3 linked regions of the Anolis sagrei genome follow. The protein of the gene in region 3 purifies or fractionates together with the protein of the main gene of each other region. This does not show direct contact. Links are inferred from orthologs where the notes say so. Each region holds a gene or a part of one and is shown on either strand. Other genes may lie near its edges.

Region 1 (7,053 bases), on a different chromosome or scaffold from region 3:
TTTGTTTTCTGATGCTTCAATGTGCACAAACCTTTGTTTCATGCACAAAAGCCTTAAAGATATTATTTTAAAATGACCTCCAGGCTACGTGTATATGAAACATCAATGAATTTTCAGCTTGGAGTTATTGTCCCATCTCCTGGGGTACATCTACACTGCAGAATTAATGCAGCCTGACACCACTTGAACTGCCATGGCTTAATGTTATTGGATCATGGAAGCTGTAGTTTTACAAAATCTTCACCTTTTTCTGACAAAAAGTACTGATTCTAAACCAAACTACAACTCCCATGATCCCATGGACAGTAATTTGGTGTCAAACTGCATTACTTCTACAAGGTAGATCAGACATGGGCAAACTTTGGCCCTCTGGGTGTTTTGGACTTCAAGTCTCACAATTCCTAACAGCTGGTAGGCTGTTAGGAATTGTGAGAGTTGAAGTCCAAAACACCTGGAGGGCCAAAATTTGCCACGCCTGGTGTTGCTGCACCCTACGATATCTCATTGTTGTTCTCGCTGAGAATTGAAGCTGCCCTTTGAGGGAGTAAGCCATCTGTTCCTGGGACGTATGAATGTAGCTTCTACTTCACTTCTGTAAAACTGGGAGGTCTGTCTTTTCATTATGTACATACAGATCCAAATAAAAGTGTTCCAAAATCTCCCCAAAATCTGGAATCCCACACACTTCTGGTTCTACTTTCAGATAAGGGATATCCATCCTGTACTAACTCATCAGGCTATTTTCATTATTCTGGATTGGCAGAGTTCAATGACAAAAGGAATGGCACCACTTCACAATGCACTGGAAGAAAGAATTATCTACACCAGGCCTAGGCAAACTCCAGCCCTCCAGGTGTTTTGAACTTCAACTCCTATAATTCCTAACAGTGTACCAGCCATGCCTGAGTTAGCAAGATCATCAGGGTCCAGCAAACGATCTTAAAAGGTTGTTCACCTGCTGGTCTCACTTACTTAGACATTATTATTTTTATTTGGAGTGGGGATGGGCTGCACGTAAGTCAGCCATACACTTGGTTGCATTTTCAGGCATTAGTAACTGAGGTTCTTCCATCCAGTGGAAGCACTATGGAGATGCACAGGATGCAAACTACCCCAACTGATACCAACAAAGGGTGATACTAAAACTACGCTTTATAAAGTTTTTCTCCACTATTTCAGCAGAAATCTATTAATTATGTATTTACAGAAATATATCTGCAGTTAAATATAACCACAAAAAACATTTTACTTTAGCCCAGCTTGCATGTACTGTATCTACACATACAAGATTAAAACCCTGTCCTGATTTATTTATTATTCCCCATATTTGTATCATGTCCTTCTTACTCCTGGAGGGGAACTCAGAGCAGCTTTACAACAGGCATTCATTCAATGCCAACAAGAGTAATAAATTGTAAAAGAAATTTAAAAAAATTGTTAATGCTTTGAAATCACTAAAACATTTGTTTAAATCACGCAGATTTGAAATCATAGTCCAGGTCAGTCCATTGTCATTCACACAAATTGGGTCTCATTGTAAATTGCACACTCCCTTACAAATAATTCTGCTCCTTTATCTCACCCTGAGTTTTTAAATCATTTTATGTACATACGGCACGCTCATTGTCATTATGTCTGGTTTACTTTTTTTTATGTTTTGTGTATATTGTTTATATGTTTTATATTTTAATGCTATATTGTTTATTTTATTGCAATTTGTATCTTATTTTATTGTAACTTGTTGTTTGGGCTTGGCCTCATGTAAGCCGCCCCGAGTCCCCATTGGGGGAGATTGTGGTGGGGTATAAGCTTATTATTATTATTGAACCTTCTAATGTGCATGCGTTCCACTCAGAACTGTCATTATTACCCAATTCAATGACATTTCTAATCATGTGCTTTTGTCTGCATGTTTTCTGCACTGTTGCTGCTGGTGTAATGAATATAGGAACACGGATTAACGTATGATGAGAATGGATTCTGATTTTACTGATGAGACGCTAATGATTGTTATATTGTATTGTCGAAGGCTTTCATGGCCGGAATCACTGGGTTGTTGTAGGTTTTTCCGGGCTATATGGCCATGTTCTGGAGGCAATTTTTCTCCTGACGTTTCACCTGCATCTATGGCAAGCATCCTCAGAGGTGGTGAGGATTGTTATATTGTTTAATTGTTGATGATGCTATTGTTTTAATTGTCCATTAATGGTTTTGTGATGTTTTGCATTGAATTTTGCTGTTGTTAACTGCTTTGAGCTGCCTGGGGGCTGAGAAAAGCGGTATATAAATGAAGTAAATAAATAAATCCCCCAATGACAATATTTGCTAGGATAATGGGAGTTATAGTCCATCAGATCTGAAATTGCCTGTTTGAAGAAGGCTGCTTTCAAATGTTTCAGTACCCTACTGTGTTTGCCATTCTTTGCGTAAGCATCTTCTTTTCAATCTTTCATTTTTTCTTAGAGCTGAATAGAAGGAAGAGTCCTGTTAGGAATTGTGGGAGTTGAAGTCCAAAACACTTGGAGGGCCGAAGTTTGCTCAGGCCTAGCCTACACTGATGTAGCAAAGTCTGTATTTCGATTCTCTGCCACCAGAATGCAAGGGAAAGCATGACTAGGCCATCCCTCCCCGCAGTGCGAAATGGTACCGCCCATTGTACGCCTCAAGTATATGGAGAAGGAATCTTCCAACTCGAGGTGGGGGGGGGGGTGAGAGAGAGAGAGAACATAGGAAGGGCCTACAACCACCGCCCAACGCCTTCCCCGCCATGGCTCTCACCTTCAAGGCCTCTATGCCTGTCACGCGGGTTTTCCGGTCCTGGTCCTTGAGGATGAAAAAAGGTCGTCCATACTCGTCAAAGGCCAGCGTCCCCACGGCCGACATGATGCAAACAGAGCCGGGCTAACGGCAACGAGGAAAAGAAAAGAACCCGCGTGAGCGCCGCTACCACAACGCGGACGCCTCTCGCTCGCTCTTCTCTTCTCGCGAGACCGCCCAATGAAAGAACAGGCGCATGCGCACCGGCCACCTCTTTGCGGCGAAGGGCTTTCTCGAACTCTTCGCGCGACGACTCCTATTCTGGAAGTGTCCACGAGCAGTGCGAGCAACTGCGCATGCGCAAGGGGCCATTTTTTTTCTACAGAGTTTCTTTCTTGGGGCGCTTCCACACAGCCCTATATTCCAAAATATCGAGGCAGGAAATCCCACTTTACCTCAAAAAATCCAGTTCAAAGCAGATATTCTGGGATATAGGGCTGTGTGGAAGGGCCCTTATAATGCCATAGCCTCGAGCTCCTCAGCGTCATGTGTCAATGACGGCTTCCTATACAACTGCAGGTTTCTAATGACTCTATAGTTTCCTACCTCTATAATTTAGTTATTCTCAGATGGTTCTTTTTTTTGGGGGGGGGGGGGATGTTTTCTTTTCAAATGACAATAGAGGCCATTGAGAAACGCAAGCCTTTAAAATCCGAGCTGCTCTCAAAGACAATGTGGTAAACGACTTGCCTTTGTTTTGCTTTTTGCTTTTCAGTGGAAAGTAGAGAAGGGACGTTCGTTGAGATACTTAGACTTCCCCACCTTTGTGGGAATAATGGTACTGTCCACTCCAGCAGCAAGGCCAGCCTTAGTCTCACTGTTTCCGGAAGTCGCTTGCAGGCTCCCTCCGAACACGTTTAGTCAGTGGCTGGATCCACAGAAGTAAGTGTTAATGGATACTCGTGGAACTCCCTTCCCAGTTAGCTTCAACATCAAAGGCATTGGCTTGGTTTGGGCCAAGGGTCGATCTACACTGTGGAATGAATGCTATGGAATCATGGAAGCTAGCCTTTAGTCTGTAGCCTCCTTTGCTAACGAATTGTTGCCTCGCCAAACTACAAATCCCAGGATTCAGATTGAAAACGTGACTTTTCATTGAATTTATCTACTTGTAAGAAGGCTGGGGCTTAGAATCATAGAATCAAAGAGTTGGAAGAGACCTCATGGGCCATCCAGTCCAACCCCCTGCCAAGAAGCAGGAATATTGCATTCAAATCACCCCTGACAGATGGCCATCCAGCCTCTGCTTAAAAGCTTGGAAGAACATTTATTGAGAACAGTGAACTCTCGGGGCCCTTCCACACAGCCATATAACTCAGAATATCAAGGTAGATAATTCACAATATCTGCTTTGAACTGGGTTATCTGAGTCCACACTACAATATATTCCAGTTCAAAGCAGTTAATGTGGGATTTTATACAGCCTTGTGGGAAGGCCTCCAGTTGCTTGAGTTCCAGTTCACTGCGACCCCTTCCACACAGCTGATTAAAATACCACATTATCTGCTTTGAACTGGAATATATGACCATTATTGCATTCATTTCATTGCAAAACAATCTCTACAATTCATATAATTACTTCTCCTTTCCCCCCATTGTGCTACCCCTTGTGGTCCCCATCTCTGGAGTTCTTTTCTTTATGCTTGAGAAGATGCGCAAACCAATTGTGCAGATGTGGATGATTGTGGAGGGAATTAATCTCAGGCCTCAATTGTGTATAAGAATATATTATAGAGGAGGCCAATTATTAGTTGTAAATCAAGGTAACTGCCACCAATGTGAGGTATTTGAGGTATCACCGATGAGATTAGGTGATATTAGACAGGTTAGATGAGATGAGACGGTTTTTAACAAAAGATAACAAGTTTATTGTGTACAAAGCGTATGGTTGCAGGCTGTTAAAATAACTTATAGAACTCTGAATGTCACTTGGTTTTAATATAGTCCACTCTTTCAAATAACACAGCTTGTGGCCGACTTTTACTGAGGTGAAGCTCTTTAGTGAACAATGTTTCCCACTATAACTAGCCTTCCAATTTGATCTTTCCTTGATCAAATCTCTGATCTCTAGTCCTTCCTTGACTAGGGATCCTAACAGGCTTCCTTTAGTCTTCCTTGACTAAAGAAACTGGTCAGGTTTCTCTCTTCAGCCCTTCTAGACTGAAAAACCTCCAGCTGCTCACACACCCGTCTCTCCCAGGCTTTTTTAAGCCTCCACTCTCCCACACTCTGGTCCTTTTCCAAAGACACCTATAACTTTTCCTGCTTGGCTCCGCCCACTTCTCACTCTCCTGAGCTAGCCTGCCTGGTCTCCTTGGCAACGCTCAATGTGGATTCAAACCAGATAACTCTAATTTTAGCTACTGTTACAAACACAAATATACTCTAACAGTTAAACACATACATAGTATCAATGACTTCTGCACAATGCTCCCACCAGAACCTCATTTCTTCTGGTAGGGGTTGGTTCCCATCTTCTTTCCTTAATGTTTCTTCAATAAATATTTTCCATATACTTTCAAAATCATTATCCTTCCTTAGGCCTTTTTTAACCTTTAGATTACATGTTAGTTATCATTTATTGGTAATTTCTTCTGTCTTAATTTTCACCTCTCCTTTTTGCTATTTGTAGCCTTGCAGCCGTTAACAACATTGTTATCAAATTCTTTTCATTTTCCTTCCATTCATCTGTATTATAAATAGATAACAGTATAGTCGCCGGATATATATTAATTTTTTTCTTCGTAATACTTTCTACTATAACTTTTCCCCAGAATCCCTGTACCTTGCCACCACATGTAGATATATGTACCCCCTTCTTGGCAACCCCTCCAACATTTTTCTGAACAACCCTTATCCATATTGTGTAATTTTGTCGGGGTCAGGTACCATTTCCATACCATCTTGTAGTAGTTTTCTTTTATCCTAATTGATAAATTCTTGAGGTTTCTTGCTCCCCATAATTTTTCCCAATTCCTTTTCTCCTATTTTTATTTCCAATTCTTCCTCCCATAGTTCCCTTGTTTGTATCCCTGGGGTTCTGACAGTAGCCTTTTGTTCAAAATATAAATATACATCTGGACAATAAAATGACGTATTTCTATTACAACAATCTTGTTTTTCCTTATCTATAAAGGCAGTGCCTTTGCTGTAACTATAAAGCCCAGGCTGATTTCCTTCTGAAATTACTTGATGCATTTTATTAGCCAATGTCGTTTTGCAATACGCTATCCAGGATCTGCAGTTTTTGGATCCAATTTATGGTTATATGCTTGAAGCATATTATAAACTACTGGGATCCTCTTGACCTTCCACTTATTTCAACAGTACTTTGACTTTACAATAGGCCGTGCACATTCTCTGGGGTTACAGGTGCAAGATCCTTGCAAAAGTGGGAAAACCAATTAAAAATGCTTTTTTAAAAACCTGAGTGAACACTTCTCTAGGATAGCTTTTCTTCCCTTTTGTCATTCTCTTGTCCCACCTGTAGGAGGGCTCATGTTACACAGTTTCACCCTATTCTGTGGTTGATAGTACTATCATCTGGATGCCTATTTAAAAAGAAATCCAAAAACATTTTTCTCAGATTTGTGTGTATAGAATTACAGTGTGAAGAACAGCCTGAATTATGCTGGGAATGTAGATCTATCCAAAGCTCCCTTGGTGGATGGGACAACAAGGATATTTCCCTTCCATGTGGCAATGAAGAATTTCTTTATTCTAGCTTCACAACTAGACTGATTTCCACCCCACCCTAGCATTGAACGTATGGTTGAGGGCAAATAGAGTTGCAAATTTAGCAGATCTATGTCCTTGGTATCTCCCATCACACAATAAAAATAATAAAATATGAATATAAACAATTAAAGATGAAAACAGAAAAAAATAGTGTGACAAAAACTTTCAGCAACATCCAGAAATGAATTGAACTAGTCAAAGATTCTGAACTTGTTTACCATTCCTGGGTAAATTAAAATGATGTCATTGAAAATATCACAAAGTGCATGCCAGGCAACCTTATTTGGGAAGAGAATTCCACAACTGGATTGACTCCAGAGTAAACTTCTTTTCTCCCGATAACCACCCACCATATCTCAAATGAGAGTTTCTAAGGACCCTTCCACACAGCCATATAACCCAGAATATCAAGGCAGATAATCCCCAATAACTGCTTTGAACTGGGTTATCTGAGTCCACACTGCCATATAATCCACTTCAGTGTGGATTTTATACAGC
Region 2 (7,295 bases), on a different chromosome or scaffold from region 3:
ATTGGAAATCATCATAGTAGGCCTATTAAGAATGCTTATCCAAAAAAGGGAGGAACTGGTGAATCTCCTTCATTTTCTTTCCTATGTATCAAAGAACACCTATCTAAAGTTTTACACTAAAAGAAAGCCAAGGAAAATGTCATACACTTAGCTTTTCCTCATATCTTCATTCATAAATTATATTGACCTCCAGAATCCCTTGAAACTGTCCATAAATACACTGAAACAATAATTTTATTCTAATTTATCTATTCGTTTTTTGCATTGGTAGATAGTAAATCTTTCCCTGAATAATTGGGCTAAATCAGTCATAACCACAGTACGTTCACCAAACTTGTTATGTCCATAATTGCGACTAAAGCGCTGGATGTGAAAATGTTGAGTATTTTTCTCTTTTTAATAGAGACATATTAGACAATGGCATCAAAAGAAACTGTAATGGTGTTTTGGTAGTTTAATTACAATACAGCTAGAACATTTTCAGGGAGAGTCATGCCATTTATGCCCCAGCCTGGAATTTGAAAGGCAGCAGAACAGCTGAAGAAAGGGGGTGACAGTCATTTCGTGAAATGAAAGAAGAGACTGCAAAATAGAAAGTATAATAAAGTCGTTGGAAGCAGCTGTCAATTCCTTTCTAACCCCCACAAATTTTCTTTTCAAGTTGTCAGGAGCAGAAAAACACACCCACAAATCAAGGCATTCCTTCTGTAGACTTGTCAACTATCCTTCAGAGTCCTGCTGAATTCAGAGTTCTCAAAGTATTCCTTTCTGGCAAACCTTTTGTGAGTTACAGAAACATGGCAATCTTATTGCTTGATGGGAAACCCCCAAATTGGGCCCCAAATCATTGACATCTTTGGCAGAGAAACCTTGTAAATCTATAACTTCCAGGATTCCATAGCATTGAGCAATTGCCAATTAAAGTGGTGCCAAGTTTCATTAATTCTGGAGTACAGATGCATCCAAAGTTAAAGTTAACAACCACAATAATGTGATAAAGCACATATATTGTCATTTAAGCCAGGGAGACAACAGTTGAGGCTCTTGATATAGTTCACGTCTTTCACATTGCAATACGTATGAAATGCTGTCTGAGGATAGTTGCTTGTCATATATATAAAAGGCAGAAAAGCATTGCTGCTAAATAATGATATATAGTATTGTTTCTTAAACTGTGGGTCCTGACCCCAAATGGGGTCCCCTTAGCACAATGCTGGGATCATGAACAATAAAAGGTTTCTGAATGCCACACAAATCTGTTAGCAACAACCTTCCTAATGTCGTGACCCCTTAATACAGCTTAATACTGGTGGGGTTGGGGGGACTTGATTCTGTCATTTGGAAGTAGTAGTTGCTGAGATTTATAGTTCCCTTACAAAGTGCATTCTGAACTCCACCAATGATAGAATTGGGCCAAACTTCCCACACTGAACCCCCTCACCAACACAAAATACAGTTTTCTCCAATGGTCTTTGGATACCCCTCTGACATTCTCACGCGACCCCCCCCCCCCAGGGGTCCTGAGCCCCAGGTTAAGAAACACTGGTTTACAGTGAACTCTGCAGAAAATGCTTCACCTGTATTTCACAAAAGGAAAATCGGCCTGTTTATCAAGCCTTGCAAATGTTGATTGATTTTAAATAAATGTTTGATTTTTATATCTACTTCATGTATCTATATATTTGGAGTCACATAAAAATTTCTCGGTCGGAAGGGTCCAGAAGCCCGGATATATAGCACAATGTAAGATATGGAGGTAAATGGAGTTCTGATATTGTGGATGACATAATTTGCTCCTGTAACAGCCTTTCCGTAGCATATATGAAGGTGGGCTTCTTCTTATATAACATGGGAGACAAGATCCCTGAGCACCAGGTGCACATAAATAAAATGCTTCTCCCCTAGCCTTCTCAATTAAAATGATGCATATCACCAGTCAGTAAGCAAATGATTTGAGGTTAACTATGTTTTTTTTTTTAAAAAAAATCAAGAATCCTTTCAAAAGCATATAAACTTCTGGTGTGTGAATCATATCTATCTATCTATCTATCTATCTATCTGTATCTATGGCTGGATGGCTCTTTGACAGAGGGACTTTGATTACGTTTTCTTGCCCTGATGAAGGGAGTTGGATGGCCTTAAGTATTTTCTGTTGGTTGTGGGTGTCCTGTGTGGGAAGTTTGCCTGATTCTGTCGTTCATGGGGTTCAGAATGCTCTTCGATTGTAGGTGAACTGTGAATCCCAGTGACTATAGCTCCCAAATGTCAAGGTCTATTTCCCCCAAACTCCATCTGTGTTCATATTTAGGTGTATTGAGTGCTTGTGCCACGTTTGGTCCAGATCCATCATTGTTTGACTCCAAAGTGCTCTCTGGATGTAGGTGAATTACAACTCCCAAACTCAAGGTCAATGCCCACCAAACCCTTCTAGTGTTGTCTGTTGGTTATGGGAGTCCTGTGTGCCAAGTTTGGTTCAATTCCCTCGTTGACAGAGTTCAGAATGCTTTGATTATAGGTGAACTATAAATCCCAATAACTACAACTCCCAAATTACAAAATCGTAATTTTTTGAGTGATGGTCACTCCTTGTATTGTGAGACGTTTTGTTGCCAAATTTGGGGTGATTTCGTTCATTGGGTTTTTTTGTTTTTAAGGTACTCATTATGCACAGAGCATTTTTTTATATATAGATTATTATATAAATATAATAAATATAAGTTTTATAGATTACAAAACAGAGGAACACTGAAGAAATGGAGTAGCCTACATATTATGTATATAATTTATAATGTATATTATATAAATATAATATACATTATATTGTGTAATTTACATTAGATGATGTATATTATATAAATATAACATATATCATATTATGTAATTCATATAATTTATATTATTATATAAATATAATAAATACAAGTTTTATAGATTACAAAACTACGCTTTCGATATTATCTTCTATTTTTTCTCTTTAGTGCAACAATTTTTTTTATGCAATGAAACCCCTTGTTTATGTAAAACTTATAAAACACTTTGTTGTTGTTCATTCGTTCAGTCGTCTCCGACTCTTCGTGACCTCCTGGACCAGCCCACGCCAGAGCTCCCTGTCGGCCGTCACCACCCCCAGCTCCTTCTGGTCAGTCTGGTCACTTCAAGGATGCCATCCATCCATCTTAAAACACTTTATATTATATATAATATATATAAATAAAAATGTAATGTTCTTTTGTGGGATTAACAGAACTCAAAAACCACTGAGCGAATTGACACCAAATTTGGACGCAAGACACCTATCAGGCCAAGGAGTGACCATCACTCATAAAATCACTGAAGAACACAGTGGAAGAGACTTTAAAAAGCCAAAATAAAAAAAAATACATTACAACGCAAGCACAAAAGCACATATACACAACTATATGCACACATACACACACACAAAACACATATACACAGACTGGGCCACAGCAACGCGTGGCAGGGCGTGGCTAGTATAATAATTCTATACATTACCAAAACATGTGATAAATCATAGAATCATAGAATCAAAGAGTTGGAAGAGACCTCATGGGCCATCCAGTCCAACCCCATTCTGCCAAGAAGCAGGAATATTGCATTCAAATCACCCCTGACAGATGGCCATCCAGCCCCTGTTTAAAAGCTTCCAGTGAATATATTAGGAAAATATGCTCTTTTGGGGGGTAATATTGCATTCAAATCACCCCTGACAGATGGCCATCCAGCCCGTTTAAAAGCTTCCAGTGAATATATTAGGAAAATATGCTCTTTTGGGGGGTAATATTGCATTCAAATCACCCCTGACAGATGGCCATCCAGCCCGTTTAAAAGCTTCCAGTGAATATATTAGGAAAATATGCTCTTTTGGGGGGTAATATTGCATTCAAATCACCCCTGACAGATGGCCATCCAGCCCGTTTAAAAGCTTCCAGTGAATATATTAGGAAAATATGCTCTTTTTGGGGGGGTATTGTTTTGGTTCTCACTAGGTTTTTCTTCACTTTACTTCAGAATCAAAAATGAATGTTTAAAAATGTAGGCCTTCCCCTTTAAAAAAAAAAAAACCACTTCGCCACAAAGTTTAAATTCAGGGTAAAAAAAAGAACCCGGAAAGAGGCACGTGAGACCCACTCCTCCAGCCCCTCCCCTCCGGGCCGCGTTCTCACCAAGCCTTTGCCGTCTCCCGCCACCCTATTGGTCCGCGTCCCTACCTTTAACCTCTCACCCAGCGTTTCCCCCCCAATCGCGTGCGCTCTTTCATCCAACAGGGGCGACGCCAACGCGCGTGCGCCGAGAGGAGGGAGGAAAGCAATACGTGAGGCGAGGAGAGAGTGAGGAGAGAACTGTGTAGCACCAGGCAGCGGCGGCTTCGAATTCTCGAAGAGAGAGGGAGGCGAGGGCGGAGCTGCGCCTGCGCGGGAGGGGAAGAGGCTCGTCTGCGCCGGCCTCAGGTGAATGGAGGGACCTGACAGTTGAGCCCAGGAGGAGGAGGAGGCGGAGGAGCAATGGCGGCGGGAGGAGGAGGAGGAAGAGGAGGAGCGGCGGCGGCAGCAGCAATGGCGGCACAATGAGGCGACGCCTGTAGCCGGGAGCGGGACCCACCTGGCAGGTAGGTAGGAAGGAAGGAAGGAGGCGCCGCCGCCCTCCTCAGGAGGAGCCGCGTGAGGCCTAGCACCTGCTACGGGAGCCGGCGGCCCCTTTCTTCCCTGCCTTCTCTCCCTCCTCGAGTGGGAAGGATGGGCCGAAGAGAAGGAGGAGGAGGAGGCCTTTGTCTGGCCAGGCAACGCGGTCGGGGCCTTTCCTCCCCTTCGCCGCCTTTGCTGCTTCTACTGACTTAGGACACAAAATCTAACTTTGGCCCTCCAAGGGTTTTGGACTTCAACTCCCACACTTTCCTGTGTGAGGTCAAACACACCTGGTTGGGGCACTTGGAGGGGAAGAAAGGAACATTTATTAAAGAAGTTACACTATATTTATTTATTTACTTTACTTGTATACCGCAGTTTCTCAGCCCAACAGGCGACTCAACGCGGTTTACAACAAGAATAAGAATCAATCAACAATATACAGTTTAAAACCATAAAAGCATAATATACAATATTGACACAACAATAGACAACACAATGCATCTCATAACTAGAGTCGTGATCCAATTCGTCAAATTTCCATTCCTGTAATCATCACATTCATTGCACTGTTTAACCGAATGCCCGTTCAAACATAGGCAATTATGCACTTTATGCTACAAATTCTAGGAATCATTGAATTGGAAGAGACCTTGTGGGCCATCCAGTCCAACCCCGTTCTGCCAAGAAGCAGGAAAATCGCATTTCTTTATTATTTAAAACATTTATATTCCGCCCTTCTCACCCCAAAGGGGACTCAGGGTGGAGCACAGCATATACACGGCAAACATTCAATGCCGGGACACAAATCCACATACAATACATAAAAACTAAAAACATTTATCAAAATGTATTGTCGAAGGCATTCATGGCCAGAATCACTCGGTTGTTGTAGGTTTTTTTCGGGCTATATGGCCATGGTCTAGAGCAGGGGTCCCCAAACTAAGGCCTGGGGGCCGGATGTGGCCCTCCAAGGTCATTTACCCGGCCCCCACACAGGGTCAACCTAAGTCTGTAACGACTCAAAAGCACACAACAACAACAATCCTATCTCATTAGCCAAAAGCAGGCCCACACTTCCCATTGAAATACTAATATATTTATATTTGTTAAAATTGTTCTTCATTTTAATTATTGTATTGTTTTTAAGTGTTTTTTGCACTACAAATAAGATATGTGCCGTGTGCATAGGAATTCATTCATGTTTTTTTCAAATTATAATCCAGCCCTCCAACAGTTTGAGGGACTGTGACCTGGCCCTCTGTTTAAAAAGTTTGAGGACCCCTGGTCTAGAGGCATTCTCTCCTGACGTTTCGCTTGCATCTATGGCAAGCATCCTCAGAGGAAGTGAGGTCTGTTGGAACTAGGCAAAATATTATCAAAATATTGAAATACACAATTCAAAGCACCCCTGACAGATGGCCATCAGTTTAAAAGCCTCCAAAGAAGAAGCCTCCACCACACTCCGGGGCAGAGAGTTCCACTGCTGAACAGCTCTCACAGTCAGGAAGTTTTTCCTAATGTTAAGGAAGAATCTTGTATGAAGCCATTGCTCCATGTCCTAGTCTCCATGGCAGCAGAAAACAAGCTTGCTCCCTCCTCCCTGTGACTTCCACTCACATATTTATACATGGCCATCATGTCTCCTCTCAGCCTTCTCTTCTTCAGGCTAAACATACCCAGCTCTTTAAGACGCTCCTCATTTGAATGTTCTTTCTAAACATTTTCATATGGTGTTAGTACAAATTGAGTTATGTAGAATCATAGAGTTGGAAGAGACCCCATGAGCCAAGAAGCAGGAAAATCAAATTCAAAGCACCCTCGACAGATGGCCATCCAGCCTCTGTTTAAAAGCTTCCAAAGAAGGAGCCTCCACCACACTCCGGGGCAGAGAGTTCCACTGCTGAACGGCTCTCACAGTCAGGAAGTTCTTCCTCATGTTCAGATGGAATCTCCTCTCTTGTAGTTTGAAGCCATTGTTCTGCGTCCTAGTCTCCAAGGAAGCAGAAAACAAGCTTGCTCCCTCCTCCCTGTGGCTTCCCCTCACATATTTATACATGGCTATCATATCTCCTCTCAGCCTTCTCTTCTTCAGGTTAAACATGCCCAGCTCCTTAAGCCACTCCTCATAGGTCTTGTTCTCCAGACCCTTGATCATTTTAGTCACCCTCCTCTGGACACATTCCAGCTTGTCAATATCTCGCTTAAATTGTGGTGCCCAGAATTGGACACAATATTCCAGGTGTGGTCTAACCAAGGCAGAATAGAGCCTGGGGAGCATGACTTCCCTAGATCTAGACACTATGCTCCTATTGATGCAGGCCAAAATCCCATTGGCTTTTTTTGCCGCCACATCACATAGTTGGCTCATGTTTAAATTTAAAATATTTATATTCCGCCCTTCTCACCCCAAAGGGGACTCAGGGTGGAGCACAGCATATAAACAGCAAACATTCAATGCCGGGACACAAATCCACATACAATACATAAAAACTAAAAACATTTATCAAAATGTATTGTCGAAGGCTTTCATGGCCAGAATCACTGGGTTGTTGTAGGTTTTTTCGGGCTATATGGCCATGGTCTAGAGGCATTCTCTCCTGACGTTTCGCCTGCATCTATGGCAAGCATCCTCAGAGGTAGTGAGATCTG
Region 3 (7,499 bases):
AGGATAATTCCCACCTGCTGATTTAAAGGATCAGTGCCTCTTTTGTGCCATGCTCCAAGCAGTAGCGAAAACAGATTTTCAATTTCTATTTATGTTACACAGAGTGTCATTGCAAAATGCAGAGGAACACTCACATGAAATTAATATTTCTCAACATAAACAGTTAATCCAAAGAGATATATGTTGTGCCTCTAATCTATGTATCTTTTTGTTTGTTTGCAAACTAATTTCTATGTCTAAAGCAAAAGCAGAAATCATGCAGACTTCAAGTGTTGTTATTATTCCAACATTTCTCCACTGGCTAGGACTGCTGTAATCCAACATCATCTCAAACTACATGATTTCCACCTCAGTCTAGAATTAGTTTAGTGCAAAGCCATAGGAGGACCTTGGCTGAGATAAACCAAGAGAGGCCTCTTGTTTAAAGTGTTACTTCAGCTAAAATCAGCATCCCTTCACGATGTATTATTTCGTCAACCCTTTCTGCTCATCTGCAATATGGAGATGATAGTAATTTTGGACTGGTATCAGAACATAAGATGATTATTTATTTTATTTATTTATATTCTGCCAAAAGGGACTCGAGACTAACAAGATATTTTAAACAACACAAGCTATGTTATAGTGCACCAGACCCTTGCTTCATGTAACCAAAACCCATCCATTTTGAGTGGCAGCTGCTCTCCAGAATTTTATGCAGATTTTCCCCTAGTTCTACTTGGTGTTGCGAGAGAAGGAAACTTGGAGCTCCTGAATACAAAACATCAATTACTAAGTTGTAACTCTGTGCATTAGAAAACACCGGGGGACCTGTGGACCTCTATAGCTTTCTAGACTCGCATTCCCATCAGCCACAGTCAGCCTGACATGAATTGAACTATGACGGAAGCAGTCGTTGATTAAGTACTGGAAACTCCCAAGTTCCTCATTCTAGCTGTAAAGTTTTGTTATAAGGATTCATTAGATGTATGTGAAATGTATGTGAAATATGTGAAAATCTCACATATATTTGGGAGATCAGTATTTGAATTCCAACTCAGTGATAGAATCCCACTACGAAGCACTGAAGTCTGTGCTGAGTTGTGGCCTTTGTAAGGGTCATTGATCACATCTGGGGTTTGGTTCCAGAGCCACTTGTAGAGACTGGTCACCAAAATCTGTAGATGCTCAAGTTCCGTTACATACAATGGTGTAGTGAAATGGCATCATTTATATAAAATGTCAAAATCAATTTGTGGAAACTGGGAGGTAACTGTACTGTTTACAGAAATGCAACTTCCAGGTACTAAATGCAAAGTAACAACAAAGACTAATATGGTGGTCTCTTGAGCTGTAGAAAGCATCTGCCATGAACTTCAATTTAAATAAGAAAATATGAATCTGTTGTATACCGAGAACCAATTTCAGGATAGATGGGATTATGGTAGATCCAGAAATTGAAACCCCTGTTTATCCCAAACACCTTGAATTCATGCTAAGGTTCGAGATAGTCATGGGGATTATGATTATGGAATGGTCCCACTTTGTCATCTTTCTGCTCCAGCTCAGGTCCATGACTCAACACTTGGCCAGATGACAGAAAATCACTTTGTGGAAAGATGGCAATGAAGGAGCTACATCTCACATCCACAAAGAGTCCGTGTCTCATGTTTGTTCTTCAAGTTAGATTCTCTGTGTTTAAATGGGCATCACCTATTTAGCATAGAGTTTGGAACACTATCTTTAAAAAAATTAAGTAAAACTAATCCATTAAAAGTAATGGTGTTTCAAATCCTTTCATTTGTCCTGGACACACCAGCAAGACTGGCCACCTGAAAAAGAGGACAATAGTTGTATGGAAGAATGAGTTTTGTCAAGTGGTATCTACTGAAATGGTATCTTCCACATAACATGGGGCATTTTTTTTAATGTGGCTACCGTGACTCTATTTCATAGTTTTAGAGCCCCCCCCTCCCCCCCAAAGCTTATGCACTTTGTATATGGTCAGGTAAACTCAGTACTGCTAAGCTTGACCACATGTGACAAAGGGCAATTTTGGCACAGAGCAAGTGATATCTAGGGCTGTTTTTAGTCTGCTTTTTATAAAATAGCATTTTAATGTGTTTTTAAGCATTTTATCCTTGCATTGTTTTAATTGATTTTATTCACCCCTTGTAAGCTGGGAGGTGATACAGAAATACTTGTTTAATAGATGAATATGTTTCTAGGTTCTCATACTCTTTGCAAAAGTAATTTCTAGAGACGTATTGTAACTCCAGCCTCTTTCCCCTCAGTTTAATGTACTGGCCTAAAAATTAAATTTGATGCCTCAATTACAAATACAGGCATTACATGTAAACACTGTCTAATTACCATGTGTGAAAATGATTACTTCTCTCTATAGACAGCTCTGGGATTTTCTCAGACAGAAGCCAAGTCTCCCAGACTTAATTAGATTTTTTTTTAAAAAAACTTCAATAAAAATATGTCAGTGACAAAATAAGTTACTCCAATGAAGAGCAAATACCAGTTTTAATAATTATAGTAATCTAAAGGCATAATTGGGGAACACAATGTAAAGATCCACAACCACTTAATATGTACTAATTTCTTCTCAGGAATGAATCAGATCAATAAATAATCACAAAACATATTACAATCACCACAAAGTTGTAATTCCTTGCCGGTTTGAGAACTCATTATTTATCTAGTAGAGACTTTTTGCCTTTTGCTCTGACAAAGTGTAAACAGAGCTATCATCCCACTTTCAAGACTTAACAAGAAAATATACCCCAGACTGGAAAGACTGTGAGAATTATTGTTTACTACACAGTAGTCTTCAGCCAAATTTTCACTTACCTATTGAAGTTTTGAAAGCATGAACTTTTCAAAGGCCGATTAAAAGTTAATTGGAAAGGCTGCATACAGGGCCATCCAGTTTGCTTCAAGGATTAATAAGCAGCAAAAGAGCCTAGGCAGAACCGAAAAGAAGGTGCAGTGGATGTTGACTCCAAGGAGGCAGATGGGAGGAAGAGCCCGATTGAGATGGACAGCTCAGTTTCCCACCCCCAGATTCCCATGCAGATTAGCCAGGCACTCTGGTAGATCACATGGCTGCAACAGCCTAAAAAAAGACCACCCACCTACCCCCCAACAGCCAAATAACCTCCAGTCTATTCACGTTTTCTTTGGAGGAGCTACATGCCACAGAGCCCTCCCTTGAAACACTCCCTTCTCTTGTCCCCTCTCTGGCTCCATTTTAATAGCATGTTTTGCTTGCTTTGGCTTTCTGCTTTTCTCACTCTTTTATTTTTAGATTGTCAATATAATACAGTGGCTTTCAGAGGTTGCATGACACCATCCATGTAACAGGATCTCAGGCTTCTGAGTGCCAGGAATTACGGGCCTCCATCAGCATACTGCTGAGGGCATCAGCTTTACTATGCTGGGTGAAACAAAAGTATCTGAAAACTCCACTTGAAATGAAGACTTAAAGAAGGGAATAGTAATTCAGTCAATGGCACTATAGCACTCTAGCTATTTGATATTTCTCCATTAACTGCAAATCCCAAGATTCCAGAAGATAGAGCCATGAAAAATTAAAGTACAATCATGGTGCTATATTTGTACTGAGCGAAGGGGCCATGGAGAAATAAATTGTGACTATGTGGTTCATTGGTGCAAGGGAGAGCAAGAGTTCCAGTAAAGCAGTTTTCCGAAACTTGGCATGAATTGGACCACAATTCATATCATCCTCTTCCTGTGAATGAGATTAGGTAGGACCGGGCTGCTGCAATACAGCAATATGCAGTCAGGAAAGTAAGTGTTGAAGTGTGGACACAGCATGGCATAGGGTGCTATCCCACTGAAGAGGCCAGAATAGCCATCCTGTCTCATTCAGTGTTAATATCATTCTGTAATCAGATGCTTGGATTACTCACACATTCACACTTGTCCATTCCTTCCCCGTCTGTAAATTACTAGCACATGTTTCCCAGTATCGCACAGTCCATCACTGTACTATATGTTTCCAATGGCCATGTCCCCTTGCTGCCATCCCCCTTTTTTCCCTTTTGCTGCAAGTTGTGCAAGAGCAAAACGGTGGGTTTTTGAATTTTATGAATGATCCCATTATTATTAATTATTATTAAGTTTATTTACACTCTACTTGCTCTCTTCACAAAGAACACTCAGGACCTCATCACACTAGAGAATGAATCCACTTTAAATCCGGTTTCTGCCTCCTGCAGAATTCTAGGGTTTGTAGTTTTGGGAGAAGCCTCACAAAACTACAAATTCCAAAATTTTGCATGAGGCAGAAACTGGATTTAAAGTGGATTCATTTTCCAGTGTGATGAGGACTCAAAGTGGCTAGAATGTAGGATACACATTGGTCTTTGGATGTGGGTGTATTACAACTTCCATCATCTGCCCTCAGTTCCCCCAAACCCCTACCAGTATTTTAAGATGTCCATAATGGGTATGAGGCAACTTTGGTCCAGATGCATAGTTGCTGTGTTTCACAGGGTTCCTTATTTATTTATTTATTTATTTATTTACTATATTTATATACTGCCCCTCTCAGCCCAGAGGTGACTCAGGGCGGTTTACAGTCAGTACTAAAATCATAAAATGCAATTAAAAACATCCAGATAGCATAACGCCATAGAAAAGTTAACAAAAGCATGTGTCATTGGAGTCTCCTAGTTAAAAACATTATCCAATCACATCATCCAGTCATTCATTTTCCTATGTCTGTTACACTGTGTTTGCAAATGCTTGCTCAAAAAGCCACGTCTTGACTTTTTTCTGGAATGTTAAAAGGGAAGGGGCCGATCTGATCTCGCTAGGGAGGGTGTTCCATAGCCGAGGGGTCACCACTGAGAAGGCCCTGTCTCTCGTCCCCGCCAGCCGCACTTGTGACGAATGCAGGATCAAGAGCAGGGCATCCCCAGACAATCTTAAAGTCCTGGAAGGTTTGTAAGGGGAGATGCGTCCGGACAGGTAAGTTGGGCCAGAACCGTGGTGGATTGTGGTGGACTACAACTCCTGACATCATATGTTATATCCCCCCCCCCCCCAAACCCTGCCAGTATTTTAAAATGGTTACAATGATGGCTTTGTGTGCCAGCTTTGGTCCTAATCCATCACTGGCATGCTTCACAGGGCTCCCTGGATGTGAAAGCCATCATAGAAAATACATACAAACATTCATCCATACAAGCATACATATATACGAAAACATGTCAGCTTCTACTCCTAACAGACTATCAGCTGGAAGTTTGGTCCGCCCATGACACGCCTCCACAGACATCATTGGCTAAAGGGACGAATTGAAGACGAGAGAAACGAATAGAACCCGTCACAATACAAAGGAGGACGGTTTGGGTGCAGTCCATAGCAATAAAGCCAATTGCAGCAGATGAGTTTCAAACAGGATCAGACGGGGTGCCTACAAGAAAGGAGCCAATGCTACCATATGATTCCATGTGAAAGAACCCAAATTAGTACTTTTTAAAGCCACTGGATAATATACATACTGATATGTCCTTCTATCCCAACCCACCAGGAAGAGTCCAAAAATGCAGCTCTATTAATCCGCACCAACAAAAGTATTTTAAAATATATATCTTGATCAGTACTATTGAAGCAAAACAAAAAAGTTTAGATTGATTTTTAGATGTGTTCTAAATCTTTGCAGTGACACTGAAAAAGAGATCAAAATATGAAATTTTAAAATTAGATTTAAAAAATAAACCATTTTAAAAAACATAAACACAAGGCATCCTTGAGCAGATTGCCATTTGCTCACCCACTAAAACCAATGGAAAAGAAAGAGATGTGCTTGCAACACAGAGAAAAAGAATGATACATCTCAAAATATTGGGAGTCATTTTTAGTCTAGATTTGGCTTACGGCATAAGAGCAAAAACATGGTAAGGCTAAACACCACCCACCTGGCACTATGCATGTAGAGCACTGTAGAAAGTTTGTTTTCATCTGGCTGCTGAGATAGATGCAAAGTGGTAAGGACAAGTTGTCTTCAAACTGTTTTCCAATACAAACTGAAGAGCAATCTTTCCATGAAAGAACACATTCACAGAAGCACTTTCTTACATGAACTCTCTGAACTGAATCCAGTGGAGGATGTTAGTCATGCTTTACTCAACTTTTCAAGATGCAGGGACATCCAGATGGGCTGGATTACACCTCCCATCACTCCAATTATTGCCTCCAATTATTGCTGGCTGAGGGTAATGGACAGTTGTAGTCCAACCATCCGGAGGGCCTTGGGTTGGGAAAATCACGCTGAAGTAAATACAATTAAAGTAGTCATCATGACATCTTTTGTTCCACTGAAATCCATGTGAGGAACAGGTAACTACTTCTGTATTCTATAATTTTCCACAGTTGTAATAGTTTTTTGTTTTGTTTTTTTTTTTGTCGTGTCAGAAGCAACCGCTCTGACATGACATGACGTTGCCCAGGGGACGCCTGGATGATTTTTTGATGTTTTATCATCCTTGTGGGAAGTTTCTCTCATGTCCCCACATGAGGAGCTGGAGCTGATAGAGGGAGCTCATCCGCCTCTCCCCGGATTCGAACCTGCGACCTGTCGGTCTTCAGTCCTGTTGGCACGGGGCTTTAACCCACTGCGCCACCGGGGGCTCCATGTTGTAATAGTAATTCATGCTCTTGGAAAATAACTGCTCTGAATGGTTCACAAGAAGCAACATTAGAGTGATGCTCATCTGCCACAAAACCTGTATCTCTAGACAGAAGGTGGAGGCTTCCTCTTTGAAGGCTTTTAAGCAGAGGCTTTGAATGTGATTTTCCCGATTCTTGGCAGGAGGTTGGACTACATGGCCCACGAGGTCTCTTCCGACTCTATGATCCTACAATAAGGGTGAAGCGACCAAAACTACATACCTTACTTAAGGTAAATGGTTCACATTACTGCAGCAAAAGGAAAAGGCATGAACTGCTCTTCATTTTTGGAACTACAACTCCTAGATGTCCCATCCTTAGGCATTACAAGCTAGTTGTCAAATGTGCAGCTGGATGAAGATTTTAAAAGCTGTGATCTCTACTGTTAACCCTATCAAATTGTAGTCATTAACATTGCAAATTGTAGTCATTAACATGACAAACATGGAGAAAACATGGAGGCAGTGACATACTTTGTATTTCTAGGTGCAAAGATTACTGCAGGCACAGACTTCAGCCAGGAAATCAGAAGACGTTTACTTTTTGGGAGGAGAGAAATGACCAATCTCGATAAAATAGTGAAGAGTAGAGACATCACACTGGCAATGAAGATCCATATAGTTTAAGCAATGGTATACCCCGTAGCAACCTACGGATGTGAGAGCTAGACCATAAAGAAGGCTGAACAAAGGAAGATAGATGTTTTTGAACTGTGTTGTTGGAGGAAAATTCTGAGAATGCCTTGGACTGGCAGAAGGTCCAACCAGTCCATACTTCAGGAAATAAAACCTGACTGCTCACTGGAGGAAAGG

What was found. The genes of interacting proteins can lie anywhere in the genome.
Region 1: the proteins of RAF1 (region 3) and CCT5 purify together in Homo sapiens (affinity purification with mass spectrometry; 3 studies listed by BioGRID and IntAct, with this or other methods). This does not show direct contact. The link is inferred for Anolis sagrei from reciprocal best matches to the Homo sapiens genes RAF1 and CCT5.
Region 2: the proteins of RAF1 (region 3) and DICER1 purify together in Homo sapiens (affinity purification with mass spectrometry; 3 studies listed by BioGRID and IntAct, with this or other methods). This does not show direct contact. The link is inferred for Anolis sagrei from reciprocal best matches to the Homo sapiens genes RAF1 and DICER1.

Annotation. Positions count from the first base shown.
Region 1 is NC_090024.1:140,479,302-140,486,354, forward strand, and holds the start of CCT5 (T-complex protein 1 subunit epsilon), read right to left. Parts: upstream 3,006-7,053; 5' UTR 2,884-3,005; coding exon 2,779-2,883; intron 1-2,778. UniProt on the Homo sapiens protein: Component of the chaperonin-containing T-complex (TRiC), a molecular chaperone complex that assists the folding of actin, tubulin and other proteins upon ATP hydrolysis.
Region 2 is NC_090021.1:318,038,599-318,045,893, reverse strand, and holds the start of DICER1 (endoribonuclease Dicer), read left to right. Parts: upstream 1-4,290; 5' UTR 4,291-4,469; exon of another isoform or gene 4,470-4,631; intron 4,632-7,295. UniProt on the Homo sapiens protein: Double-stranded RNA (dsRNA) endoribonuclease playing a central role in short dsRNA-mediated post-transcriptional gene silencing.
Region 3 is NC_090022.1:64,260,429-64,267,927, reverse strand, and holds the start of RAF1 (RAF proto-oncogene serine/threonine-protein kinase), read right to left. Parts: upstream 3,002-7,499; 5' UTR 2,839-3,001; intron 1-2,838. UniProt on the Homo sapiens protein: Serine/threonine-protein kinase that acts as a regulatory link between the membrane-associated Ras GTPases and the MAPK/ERK cascade, and this critical regulatory link functions as a switch determining cell fate decisions including proliferation, differentiation, apoptosis, survival and oncogenic transformation.